Linked DNA regions of Ovis aries. The protein of the gene in region 1 purifies or fractionates together with the protein of each later gene. This does not show direct contact. Links are inferred from orthologs where the notes say so. Each region holds a gene or a part of one and is shown in the gene's direction. Other genes may lie near its edges.

Region 1 (4,486 bases):
ATCATTACACTGTGGTTAAAGAACATACTCTGTCCCTGTTTTTATAAAAAATGTATTTTATTGAAATATAATTGATTTACAGTGTTGTTTTAATTTCTGCTGTAGAGCAAAGTGACACACATATATACATTCTTTTTCATAATTATTTTCCATTATGGTTTATCACAGGATATTGGATTAGTTCCCTGTGCTATACAATAGGACCTTGTGTATCCATTCTGTACATAATACTTTGCATCTGCTTGGGCTTCCCTGGTGGCTCAGATAGTAAAGAATCCACCTGAAGTGTGGGAAACCTGGGTTCGATCCCTGCATTGGGAAGGTCCCCTGGAGAGGGGAATGGCTGCCCACTCCAGCATTCTGGCTGGAGAATTCCACTGGCAGAGGAGCCTGGCAGGCTACAGTCCATGGGGTCACAAAGAGTTGGACACGACTGCTCGACTTTCACTTTTGAATCTGCTAGCTTCAAACCTCCAGTCCTTCTCTTCTCCACCTCCCCTCCCCCTTGGCAATCACAAGTCTGTTCTCTATGTCTGTGAGTAGATTTCTGTTTCATAGATAAGTTCATTTGCATCATATTTTAGATTTATGTGATATAATAAGGTATTTGTCTCTTTCCAAATCACTTCATTTAGTATGATAATCTCTAGAGGTCCATCCATGTTGCTGCGAATGCCATTATTTCATTCTTGTTCACAGCTGAGTAGTATTCCAGTGTGCGTATGCACCACATCTTTATCCATTGATCTGTCAATGGACATTTAGGTTGTTTCCATGTTTTGGTTTTTGTAAATAGTGTTGCTGTGAACATAGGGGGTGCATGTATCTTTTTTAATTATAGGAGAACATACTTTATATGATTTAAATTTTTAGCTCTTTGAATTTATCATAATGACTACTTTAAAATGTTTCTCTCTGAAATCTAACATCTGTCTCCTCTCACAGGCATTTTCTGTTGCCTGCTTTTTCCGTGTATGGATCACACTTTGTTTCTTTGCATGTGCATCTCATAATTTTTTGCTGAAAAGTGAACAAAAATATATTAAAATATACCTAAAATATTTTAGGTAATATATTGGAGCAAGTTTGGATACTAATTCTTGGCCTCCACCATGAGACATGTTTTGGTCATTTGCTTGTTTCTTTCGTGACTTGGCTGAGCTATTTTAGTGAGGCCTACTCCTCTTGCAGTATGAAGCCCTGTGTCACTCCTCTGAGGGCACAGCCATGGGCATGCACACAGCCGCAGTTCATGATGGTGTGTCAGCAGGGCTCCCTGTGACTGTCTCTCTTGCTGATGTGTTAATCTGTCTGCCTCTGCCTATATCATACCCAGCTGTTCATACTCATTAATTGCTAGCCAATTGCTCTGTAGTTTTTGACATGTGGGGCATAAGTTGCGCCATAATCTGATCCAATTAAATTTGGGCTTCTGTACCAGGGTTGTTTTTTATGATGCCAGCCTCTTCTTTAGTGCTTACCTCCAATTTTTTTCATTTTTTGGAAAGTGCCCTTAGGCTTAAACTTCCTCATACTGTTTCACAAGAAGTCAGTTCATTTGGAAAGACCTTTGGAGCTTTCTGTTCTAGTGGATTGCCTCTCCCCCTGGCAGAATCTCTAAGCCCCTGCTCTGGAGCTGATGTCAGAGACACTGACCCAGTTCTGTCAGAGTGACGCTCCTGTTTTATGAGCAGAGACCTGGGCAGGGGTGATAGCCTCTGGTCCTCTCAGTTCTCATCTCTGTTGTGAAGCCTCTGCCCTTTCAGTGATCTGTGGTGAGGGTGATCAAGGCCCAGTATTCCTGTCCTTCTGCTCCTGAGGTGCAGCCACTGTCCTATGAGCGGGGCTGGGTGGAGGGAGTCCTCAGTCTCTTGACCGTATTCAGCAGGTATTCTCTGCAACTTGTAACTAGAGAGGATTGAGGAATATTGGTGGCCTGCCCCTCTGGTGACATACCATATCTCTTGACTGGTTGCTGAGGGGATAGAAGCCCCATTTTTTGGAACTTACTCACCTGGAATGGAGCATCTGTCTGAGCTGTGAAGTCAGGGTTGAGAGAAAAGAAGGAGGGTCATGGCCCAAGTACTATAAACTTACACTATTCAAGATTTAGTGGATTTTCTTGAATAGATGTTTCTTAATTTGTTGTACGTCCTTAGGAAAATTTCCAGAGATTTTAAATGCCTGAGTTAAAAAAAAAAAAAAAAGTGTTCACCAGTTATGGAATTTCACTAGGGAGTGGATCTGCAGAGCTCCTTGGGCGGCCACTCAGAAGTGGGACCTCTCTTCTACTTGTAACAGTTACTTTAGAAATTACAGAGTGTGTGTGTGTGCAAGCTCAGTCGTGTCCAACTCTTTGCAACTCCATGTCACACAGAGTCGGACACGACTGAAGCGACTTAGCAGCAGTAGCAGCAGTAGCAGCCCTGCCAGGCTCCTCTGTCCATGAAATTTCCCAGGCAAGAATATTGGAGTGGGTTGCCATTTCCTCTTCCAGGGGATCTTCCTGAACCGAGGATCGAACCCACATCTCTTGCATTGGCAAGCGAATTCTTTACTGCTGAGCCACCAGGGAAGCCCCAGAAATTACAGGGGTGAATCCTAACTAATCAAAGGCTAACGTTAATTGATATCTTTACTCTCTTTCTGATTAATACAAAGACCTTAGAACTGTTTAAAGTTTTTTTAAATCATACACACATGCACACACACACAGAATATACATATTTCAAATACATATAAAAATATATATCAAATATGTATAAGTATGTACATACTGTATTTACATAAAGCAAGAACATGAAACAGAAATCAGCTGGTTACCTACAGTTAAGTTGCCCAAGTTCAATTCGTATTTTTACCACTTACCAGCTGGTCAGCCTGAACAAGTCCCTCAACTATATCAAACCCCTGTATCTTGAGCCACAGAGTTGAGATAATGTTACCTCCCTCACTGGGTTGTCATGATAATTAAATGAGCTAATGCATGTAAGGGCTTCCCTGGTGGCTCAGAGGTTAAAGCGTCTGCCTCCAATGCGGGAGACCCGGGTTCTATCCCTAGGTCGGGAAGATCCCCTGGAGAAGGAAATGGTAACCCACTCCAGTATTCTTGCCTGGAGAATCCCATGGATAGAGGAGCCTGGCAGGCTACAGTCCACGGGGTCGCAAAGAGTCAGACAGGACTGAGCGACTTCACTTCACCTCAATGCATGTAAAGGGCTCCCCTGGTGGCTCAGTGGTAAAGAATCCACCTGCCAGTGCAGGAGACGGGGGTTCCATCCCTGGGTCAGAAGATCTCCTGGAGAAGGAAACGGCAACCCACTCCAGTATTCTTGCCTGGGAAATCCCATGGAGGGAAGAGCCTGTCAGGCTATAGTCCATAGGGTTGCAAAAAAGATCCAATGTAGCAACTAAACACTAACAATGCATATATAGCACCATATACACAAGGCACAGAGCACAGTGCCTGCCAGACTGTAAGTCCTCAATAGCAGACAACTGTTTTCAGAATAACAGTAATGGTTGGTGGTGATTACTATTTATTCATCCTCCTGTCCTGGCAGTTCCTCTGTGATGAGGGTGCTGGTATCTCTGGGGACTACATTGACCGAGTAGATGAGCCCTTGTCCTGTTCTTACGTGCTGACCATTCGAACTCCTCGGCTCTGCCCTCACCCACTCCTTCGGCCCCCACCCAGTGCTGCTCCCCAGGCCATTCTCTGCCACCCCGCCCTGCAGCCTGAGGAGTACATGGCCTACATTCAGAGGCAAGCTGGTGAGTACTTAAAGGAGGACAGGGAGGAAGCAGACACAGAGGGAGGGACAGGCAGAAGATCAAGTATCAAGGAGCTGAGAACGTGTCCTCGTCCCGCGGACATGCCATCTTCCGGTAGACTCAAAGCAGTACGGAGACAGGGCCCTAGAGGGGCGGCGGCAAGACCCGGACCCTCCAGTGTGGAGTGAGACCAAGCCTGGGGTGGTGCCACCAAAGAAAGCAGGTAGGTCCTTGAGTCACCTGTTTCGTGACACACGTCTCCACTTCTTCCTTTCTTCAGTGTTACTGTCCTGTGCACCCAGGGATGTGTTGTCTTCAACAGCCCAACAGCCCTGACTTTTGGGGTGGGGGAAGGAGTACTACAGGCCCTAACCCCTCACAATAGAAGAGGGAAACATATCCCATCTATCCTTTCAGGTTTCTCTTTGTTTTCTGTATTCTAGGTGCAAGCCCAGCCAAGGAGAACAGTAAAGAATCAGATTTCTGGAAGATGCTTCACGAGCCAGAGGAACAGCCCCAAGAAAGGGAGGAGACACAGGCTGAGGTGAGAGCCAGCTTCCTAGCCACCTCTCTGAGGAGGCTGAACATGGGCTTTGGGTCGGAGGGCCACTCAAGCCGAGGTTCATTATGAGATGACCTCTTTTTATCTAGGGATGCAAGACCATACCCAGAGGCAGTGCCTTAAGAGTTTGGTTGGCATGCAGAGAAGCCT
Region 2 (4,586 bases), on another chromosome or scaffold:
CACAGGAAAAACCATAGCCTTGACTAGACAGACCTTTGTTGGCAAAGTAATGTCTCTGCTTTTGAATATGCTCTCTAGGTTGGTCATAACTTTCCTTCCAAGGAGTAAGTGTCTCTTAATTTCATGGCTGCAATCACCATCTGCGGTGATTTTAGAGCCCCCCCAAAATAAAGTCTGACACTGTTTCCACTGCTCCCCATCTATTTCCCATGAAGTGATGGAACCAGATGCCTTACATAAGCATGTGAAGTAATTAATGCTTCTAATTTTTGCCAATCTGGTGAAATGGTTTTACAGCGTTGTTTCTTGAAAACCAAAAACATCTAACCCCCTCCCCCCCTCCTCCCTGCCCCACCCATACACACACACAGGTTGAACACTGAGGACTGAAACTACCAAAGAGCCTCCTTGCCCCACCCAACAACTTACTGTTTCCATTAGCATGACTCTACTATTCTTGACCAGAATATTATTTTTATTGTCCAAATGGTTGTTCATTATGAAACCCCCAGCCAAAGACTGATGAACTCTTTAATGGGATGCGTGGCATGCGTGCTCTCCCCGTGTCTGACTCTTTAGATCCCATAGACTGCAGGCCGCCAGGAGCCTCTGTCCATGGAATTTTCCAGGCAAGAATACTGGAGTGTGTTGCCATTTCCTAGTCCAGGGAATCTCGCCAACAATTTGTTACAGCAAGATTCTCTGAAATTCTTGCTTCAGCAGTTTCTACCAATACTGGACTGCTTTTCATGAGCTCTACCCAATCCTAAACAAGCCTCCAAACTAAAAAATCCACGTTAAACCAACAGGGCCTCTCTTCGGGAACTGATCAAGTTCTGCTTTCAGTTCAGTTCAAGTCGCTCAGTCGTGACCTACTCTTTGCGACCCCAAGTCCTGCTTTAGGTTACTATTATCACAAGCCTATCTTCTCTGCAAGCCTTAGATTTCCTGAGGGCAGGATGAGTAAGGCTTCAACCGATATTGCAGGTGATACGCGGGAAGTACACCGGTCACCTCAGCGAGTTGAGGAGCCGAAGCTCCAGAAACCTCCGGGCAGGAACTACTTCCGGCTTGAGAAGTGGCTCCCGACAGGCCCCGCGCCCCCGCTGCATGCCGGGACCTTCAGGGTGGAGGTTCGCGGCCCGCTGGAGACGCTGCTCCATCAGGCCGCTCTAGCGCCCGGGATGGCGCCCCACCGAGTGCCACCTGTTCCCGCTTTTCTTCAGAGAAAATGCAGCCCCGTGGATACTTACCCAAGCGACTATAAGAGTGATGAATTCGACCAAACACCAGCTTCCCGCCACCTCTTTAAACCACCGCAGGCTGCCAGAGATAGGCGGCGCGGTTGACTCCCCCAGATTCTGACCGCTCTCTGCTTTAGCGAACGACAGCAAGGGCAGGATGCCCCCGCGCTCCTAATTGGCCGACTGTCTGGGGAGGGGGCCACCTAGATTGGTGACGGAAAGGAGCCGGGCGGGAAAGCTAGCTGTGGCCGGCGGGGATTGGCAGAAGGAATCGGTATTCACTCCCTTCCCCAAGACGTTGGTGGGTGGAGAAGTTAGGCTGGGCCGCCGCGGAAACGCAACTCGTGATTGGCGGATGTGCTTTTCTTCGGGCTCTAGCGGTTGGTGGCTGGACGGTTGATCAGCGCTGATTGGATAGCAGCGTAACGGGGAGGGCCCCGCTCTGGTTCCGCCCTGATCCCGCCCCGCCGCTGGGATGGACTGGCGGAAGGGGAAGTGGGGGGTGGGGGGGGGCCGGCGGCGGTGGGGAAGATGGCGTACCAGAGCCTCCGGCTGGAGTACCTGCAGATCCCACCGGTCAGCCGTGCCTATACCACCGCCTGCGTCCTCACCACCGCCGCTGTGGTGAGCAGCTGCAGCGCCAGCTTCTCATGAGTTGTACTGGATATGCCCGGGTCCTCGGGAAACTGGGGTTTGGGCCTTGGGGAAGCTCAGAGTGGTTGGTCTCAAGGGTGGGTGGAGGCGTACAGGGCTCACTCTGGGGTTCAGTATCGCCCCGTAAGTACTATCCAGTGATCCAGAAAAAGAGGTGCTGTTCCATAAGGGGTGGAGGATCAGGACTGCGGGTCAGTTTCTGAGACATAAAGGCAGGACCTGTACCAAGTCAGGGCTGCGGGAGCCGCCCACCCAGGAAACGTGTCAGAGAACTCTGATGGTGTTCTCAGAGCCACAGAATGATCCTTTGTGACTACTGGGAGGAAGGTCCGCTTAGTGGAGAAACGTAGACGTTGAAGATAGAAAGATGGAAGTTGTTGAGCGGGAAAAGTCTTGAAATAAAGAGACTTACAGAGGTTGGCTGGAAGTACTCAGCCCTCACAGTGGCAGGGTGTTGAGTCTTGGTTCGAGTGAATTCTGTTGCTTCGCACAGTTGTTTTAGGTGATGCCCATGTATTGGGCATAATCCTAGCAGCTGGTCTTACTTGCCCTGAATTTAAGACATTACCACCTGCCTGCCATACCTTCACATCAGCCTCAGCTATTGAAACAACAGACTTTTATTTTGTGTTAGGTATTGGGGAACGCAAAGAATTGTGCCAGTTCTAGAGAACTCTTTACCAACCTTCCTCCAGCTTAAGAAGTAAACCTTAAATAATTCAGTCTAAGTCACTGAGAGTGGGAAATTTGCGAGAACTGCCAGTCTTTTGTAGTAAATGATGATATTTTGTTTCTTGATTGACTTGCTTGAAGAAGTTGTTTTTCTATTTCAGCAGTTGGAACTGATCACACCTTTTCAGTTGTACTTCAATCCTGAATTAATCTTTAAACACTTTCAAGTAAGTGGCCCATCACAACTGCCATTTAATGTTGCAGTTTTTAAACTTGTTTTTCTTACTTTTAAGTAGCTAATCCTGCTATATACTATCTCAAATAACTCAGTGGGAATATTTGATTATAAGTGTTGGGGGGCAGTGGGGGAGTACAAAGCAATGATTCTGCAGCCTGGAACTTTTAAAGAGATTCTCAAGATCCTCAGCATATACCAAATCAGAATCACCAAGGCTATGTTACAAAGTTGCCTGTATGGTTTTGATTTGATGCGTCCAGTTCCTATATTTAGGAATCACTGGTTCAGATTTAGTAGTATAGATTGAGAGGAGACTGGATCCGCTAGTTGTCCAGGGAGAGTCAGAGAGGATGTCCATATGTAGTCCATCCAGCACCATGTGGCACAGTCACCACCTTGGTGTTATCCCTGTGATCCAGTTCAGAAACTCAATAAGTGCTCTAACCCATCTCCCAGGGATCACATCATCCTCTCAAAGACTGACATCTAAGAAAACGCCAGTTTATTAGATTACAGTGAGAGACAGTCCTTTCCAGTAATTAGAATGCTAAAGAGGGATGGGTTTTTTTTGTTCTAGGCTCAAAAGTCTGTTTCTACACCTGCTGTTCCTCTGTCACAGAGGTGTTTCATTCACTTTGTACCCGTTGAGCTCCAGCTTGTCTTTCAGTATGCAGTTTTTGTGTAGCCTTCTCGGATTCATCCTCCTTTGTGTCCCTAGAGTATCTGTAAATACTTTTTTTTATATCTCTCATCTCATACTTGCACTTGTTTATATGCCTGTCTCACAAGGTTGAGGACTCTACAATCCTGGATGCAATTAGTATGCAGTAAACAATTCTGAGTTGTTTCAACTTTAATAGTTAGCAATTCTTAAGAATTTAATGATCGTAAAGGAGTCCCGTGAACCCTTATCACTGCCTTCTTCCTTCTGCACTCACAAGGCCTTCACTGGGAGCTTTAGCTCGATCCAAACAAACAAGGCTTGATTTTGCCTGAGGTTAAACTCTTCACACCATGTGTGAAATTAGGAGTTCTAGGTTTGAGTTCAGAGCCTCCCTTTGCAAGCTGTGTGATATTAGGCAGGCCATTTAAAAATCATCCAAGTCTCTTAGTTACATCATGTGTGAAATGGGGATGGTATTGGTCAGCCTCCTCATCTCACAGGATAATTAAAATCACATGAGATAATAATATTTTAAAACACTTTAAAATGTTAAATGTTCTATCATTGTGAGTAGTTGTTCTTATTGCAGGCGTGGATGATTTGGGTGGGGAAGAGTATATCAGGGTTTGAAAATAAGTGCATATCTACCAGTTAAACTAATTATTACAGTATTAGATCTTTATTTGTAGTGAGTTGGCTGTCTGTTCAGGCTATTCGAACAGAATATCTGTTCGAGTATTTGCTTTAGAATTACTCTTTATTCTGGATGTTTCTGATGGCTAATATAGAAACAATTGCTGTTAGATCCTGTAATTTCCTTTGGTATCTTGAGATTGTTCATTAGATTGTGATACTACATATATTAAAGCTCTGTTTCCTAGTCTGCAGATTAACTTAGTCTTGCCATCACACTTTTCCCATCATTTGCCTGACCATATGGTATGGATTTTTGTGTTGTTTTTTTTTAATACAATCACAATTGCAAGTTTTCTGTCCTGTCAGGCTTAGAACTTTCCAGGGGCAAGTGATATCTTTCAGACTCTCACTGAAGCCGCACAAAAATTCAGTGTCAGATTGTGTGTCTCACTTTTGAGTTTAGAAAATAGAATCACCT
Region 3 (4,586 bases), on another chromosome or scaffold:
AGATGTAACTGCCCATGGCCCTCTGACCTAAGGAAGCAAAATGAGCCCAGCCCCCAGGAGAGGGGATTGGTGGCCTTTAGCCAGAAGCTTGAATCTGAAGAGGTGTCTCTGGGCAAATGCACTAGCCCCTCCCTCCAAATCTTTCTCCTGCTCAGATCCTGGGATTCATCTGAGGTTTTCCGGGCTCAGAATATCAAAGATAAAACATGTTTGGCGTTGACTTAGGGCCCATCTGTGCCTGAGACTGTCTTGTGTGTTATCATCACACTGGCTCTTCACAGTCCTGGTATAAGTGGTCATTCTTATTCCCCAACTCACAGAAGAGGAAATGGGGGTGCAAAGAGGTTAATTAGCTAAGATCTCATCAGATAGTTGTGGAGTGAAGGCTTAAATCCAGATGCTCAGCCCCCCAGCCCATGCCTGAGCCACTAAGCCACAGTGCCCCCTGAAGAAGGGAGCTGGTGCCTGGAAGGGGGCTCCCATAGTGAGTATCGGGGGTACATTGATGTGTCTGTGTGTGTGCCTGGGGCAGTCAGTGTAGGCTAGGTCCCACACTCTCTGGGAAACTGCCAACAGATGTAGCATCCCTGAAGTCCTCCCTCACTCTCTGGACCAAGCAGGGCCTCTGGTCCTTCATCTACTTGGTCTATACGCCTCCCCTCACTCCCTTCCTGCTGCAGACTTCACACTTCATCTTTATTTCCATCCCTCTCCCATATCTAGGCAGGATTATGGGGGGACAGGGTCTCCCCGACACCGCCAATTCACAGCCAGCGCACAGCATCTTTCTAGGATACACTCACTCCCAGAGAATCAGTCTGGATACAACAATCAATAGTTCCAGAAGTAACCAAGTGGACAGAACTTTCTCCAGCTTGGCTTCTGATTTGTGATTGGAGAATGGCCCCTGGGTGGACCCACCCCAGGCATTCTGTGCTTGCCCAATTTCCCGGATCATCCCACCGCTCCTTCCCAGGATGCACGTCCAGAGGAGCTCTCTGCAGTGTGAAATACTACAGAAGTGGGCAGTGGGAGGATGGGGAGACGAGGAAGGGCTGAGCATGGAGCCCTGGACTCAAAAGGAACAGGTCCCAACCCAGAGCCCCTCACTTTCTCCCCAGCCCTGCCTCACATCCTTTCTTCACTCCTCCTCCAAGTGCCCCAGTCCCCCCTAAGATCTTACATCCCTTCTTCCTGCAGCCAGCGTCTGTAACACACCCTCCCCAATAAACACAGCCCATCTCAGTCTCTGTGGGGCTCCCCTTGTGCATTTCAGAGGTGGCTTAGGCTGCCTCCCTCCACAGGTGGCCCTGAAAACCTGCCAAAACGCTGATGCCCGGCTCTGGGCCAAAAGGAGACGCCTGTCATGCCCTTTAATCTGCTCTGCCAGGTGCTACCAGCCCGCTTACAGAAGCTCAAAGGCACTGGGTGATTCATCCTGGGTCACACAGCCAGACACAGCAGGGACAACAGGTGACACACAAGACTACCGCCTGGGCTGGAAAGGGTTTTCTGGCATCTGCCTGGCTCCTGGCAGCTTTGTGCAAGGCAGCTTCCTGCCCAGGGTCCCCACCCCTCCCAGACCTGCTGCCTGAACCACCCAGAAGCTCCTTCCTCCTGCGCTGGCAGAGCCTGGACGCCACGCTTAGGGCACACACTGCCTCCAGGAGCCCCAGGGGAGGAGGAGTTCCTTCTGCCACAAGAACCTGGCATTGAAGGTAAGGGGGATAGGGGGGCACCTTCCTACCTGCCCCAGAACACCAGGCTGAGAGGCACTAAGCGTGGCAACAGCCTGGACACTTGCCTACACCCACTCAGTGAGAGAGCTGAAAGGGGCAGCCAGGCATGGAGGGAGGCCATTTTACAGATGGGGAAACTGAGGCACGGGGAGGGGAACAAATGTCCAGGAGGTACGGAGGGCAAGCCTTGTTTCATCACACCCTAGGTCTTCAAGCTACGGGTAGGTGCAGAGCCCTGGGTAAGAAACTCCTTCAGCCAGCTCAGGAGAAAGAGTCAGTGTTCTGAAGCTAGCTTGTGGAATCGGAAAGTCTGGAGAGATAGGAGCGGAGAGTCCTTCCCTCCCTGGACTCATTTCTGCTCCTATATTGGGGGGGTGTGTGGTACACACTCTCCTCACAGGGACACTGAGAGGACTGAGTAAGGGAAGCCTGGAGGGAAGCTCCTGGAATGTTCCCCTCATCCCCAGACCACCCACCTAGAATCACAGCAGGGAGACCCATGGGCACAGGGCTCACCATGTGCTCCCGACGCTGGGCTCTGAGCTCTGAAACTGCTGCATTTAATCCTCACAGCAGCCCAGCGAGGTACAAACTGTCACATCCCCATTTTACAGATGGGGAAACAGGCATGAAGCGATTAAATGACTCACCTGAGATCTCACAGCCAGTGAGTGGGGATGCTGGGTTCCCTGGTCTAAACCTGTGTAGTAGAGGAACCTACAGGCTATTCGCCAGGCACAGTCCCATAGCTGGGGCCAGGGGATGAGCGGAGGACAAAGACACACTTGTCCACTGGCTCAACAAATACCGAGTGTACATGGCGTGCCAAGGGTGTGTAGGGCGGTGCACACAGCATGATGCCAACTGCCTCAGGCTTCTAAATGGACTCTAACCCACTGAAAAGCCCAAGGCGACTGGCATCAAACTACATGCACCACCCCAGTAGGGCCCCACTGGCCTCAATCCCACACTACCACCCTGGCCACCACCAGTGCCCCCAAAAGCCAGCCGTAGCTCCTGGATGGAGCCACAGGTCCCAGGAAAATTCAGGCAGCCTGTGGGTCGAGTTAGCTGGCCGGAAGCCAGATCCAGCGGAAACAGAAACAGGCCTGAGGCTGGCCAGGAATTGCACCTCCTCCCACCTGGAGAAGCTTGGTGAGCAGGTGTGAGCAGAGGGCTGTGCAGATCAAAATCAAGAGCCTAGTATGTGCCCAGTGCTTTACATAAGTGAGTTCCACATCCCTGGCAATGAGCTGGAAGTGGGACTTCCAAGGCCTTAGGATGCAAATGAAACTACCCCATGTTTCAGAGAGATGGACCAGCTTGCCTGAGGCCACACAACCCTCTATAGATTTACTCTCTGACCCTGGGCCTGTGCCCATGCCACCCATATCAGCCTTAGGTAGCTGTGTCAACTGCAGTCAGGACCCATTTTCTTTCCAGGGAAGGCGAGAGCGGTTTTGTGTCTGCTTGGTGACTTGAGGTAGATGACCAGTTTCTCTATCTGCCAGCTGAGCTCATAACATTCTCTACCCCTTGCATCTTCAGCAGTGGGCCTTTTGTTTGTTTGTTTTTTAATTTTTTTTTGGCTATGCTGGCTCTTCGCTGCTGCTTCCTCTTGCTGTGGCAAAGGGGCTACTCTAGTTGTGGTGCACGGCCTGCCCATCGCAGCGGCTTCTCTGGTTACGGGCCACGGTCTCTAGGGCACAGGCTCCAGCAGTCACTGTATGGGATAGTTGCCCCACAGCATACGGAATCTCCCCTGACCAGGGATCGAACCTATGTCCCCTGCACTGGCAGGCAAATTCTTAACCACTGGACTACCAGGGAAATCCCAGCAGTGAGCATTGGGCATTTCAAGGTGGCTCCATCAGTGGTAGCTCTTGCTACTGATGAAGCAGCAACTGAGAGCTCCCCAGTGGATTGCAGGCCAGCAAAATCATGCCATCCCCTAGAATGTCGGCATCAATGCCACCCCAGCTTGGATGCAGGATGCTGTGGTTTATGAGCTGGGCACAAAGACTCTCTCAGGGATATGGAGCACAGGGCTGCGTGCCGCCCAGAAGGAGCACCGCTGGACAACGTGAGCAGGCAGTCCAGTGTCCAGCCGATGGACTTAGTCCTTGTTTGTTCCTCTGATAACTGGGGTGACCTTGGTTAATGTTTACCAGCAGCCTCCCCCTTCGCCCTTCTGGGTCCAGTGGTTAAATAGGGGCAAGGACAGGGCTCTGTCTCCTCAGCCTCAGTCAGCAGCCCTGACCTGGGACAGTGAATCGTAAGTATGCCTTCCACTGGCCAGGGGCCTCCAGGACCCTGCGCTCCCCAGGCAAGCCTTGGGGATGCAAGGAGGATGGAGCAGGCTGGGGCCAGGCCATCTGCTGTCATAGTAACAGCAGCCCAGGGGTCCTTTCCTGCTTCCCAAGCCTATCCAGGGCCTCCCCAATTCCTCCTGGTGACTAAAGGGGCCCTCTGCGAGCAGAAGTGGAAGTGAGGGGGTGGGGGCTGGCTTTGGCATCCAGCGACCTAGGAGGGAGTATGTTTCTGCTGGCGCAGCTCCTGTATCTTTCCCGTCGGTGGTCTTCTGTAGGTCTTGTCCCGTCGGTGTCTTCTGTAGGTCTCGCCGCCTCTGCATTTGCTTGGGTGTGTATCTTTTCTCGCTTCTACAGATGAGAACGATAAGGCTCAGGGAGGGACAGTGAGTAGTCCAGGCTCACAGAGCAACCTGGTAGGGAAGCCAGGTCGGACGGGAAGCTCTGAGTTTCAGCTGCCTCCATTCTCTGCAGAAGTGCCCAGAACAGAACCGTACCAGGTCTTAGCCTGGAGTTACCGAAGCGGGCACCCCTGTGC

The links.
Region 2: the proteins of OS9 (region 1) and DERL2 purify together in Homo sapiens (affinity purification with western blotting; 3 studies listed by BioGRID, with this or other methods). This does not show direct contact. The link is inferred for Ovis aries from reciprocal best matches to the Homo sapiens genes OS9 and DERL2.
Region 3: the proteins of OS9 (region 1) and SERPINA1 purify together in Homo sapiens (affinity purification with western blotting; 4 studies listed by BioGRID). This does not show direct contact. The link is inferred for Ovis aries from reciprocal best matches to the Homo sapiens genes OS9 and SERPINA1.

What each region holds. Positions count from the first base shown.
Region 1 is NC_056056.1:161,936,842-161,941,327, reverse strand, and holds part of OS9 (protein OS-9), read left to right. Parts: intron 1-3,563; coding exon 3,564-3,774; intron 3,775-3,892; coding exon 3,893-3,997; intron 3,998-4,217; coding exon 4,218-4,318; intron 4,319-4,486. UniProt on the Homo sapiens protein: Lectin component of the HRD1 complex, which functions in endoplasmic reticulum (ER) quality control and ER-associated degradation (ERAD).
Region 2 is NC_056064.1:25,956,252-25,960,837, forward strand, and holds the start of DERL2 (derlin-2), read left to right. Parts: upstream 1-1,748; 5' UTR 1,749-1,775; coding exon 1,776-1,868; intron 1,869-2,731; coding exon 2,732-2,797; intron 2,798-4,586.
Region 3 is NC_056071.1:56,847,683-56,852,268, reverse strand, and holds the start of SERPINA1 (alpha-1-antiproteinase), read left to right. Parts: upstream 1-1,627; 5' UTR 1,628-1,718; intron 1,719-3,945; exon of another isoform or gene 3,946-4,014; intron 4,015-4,586.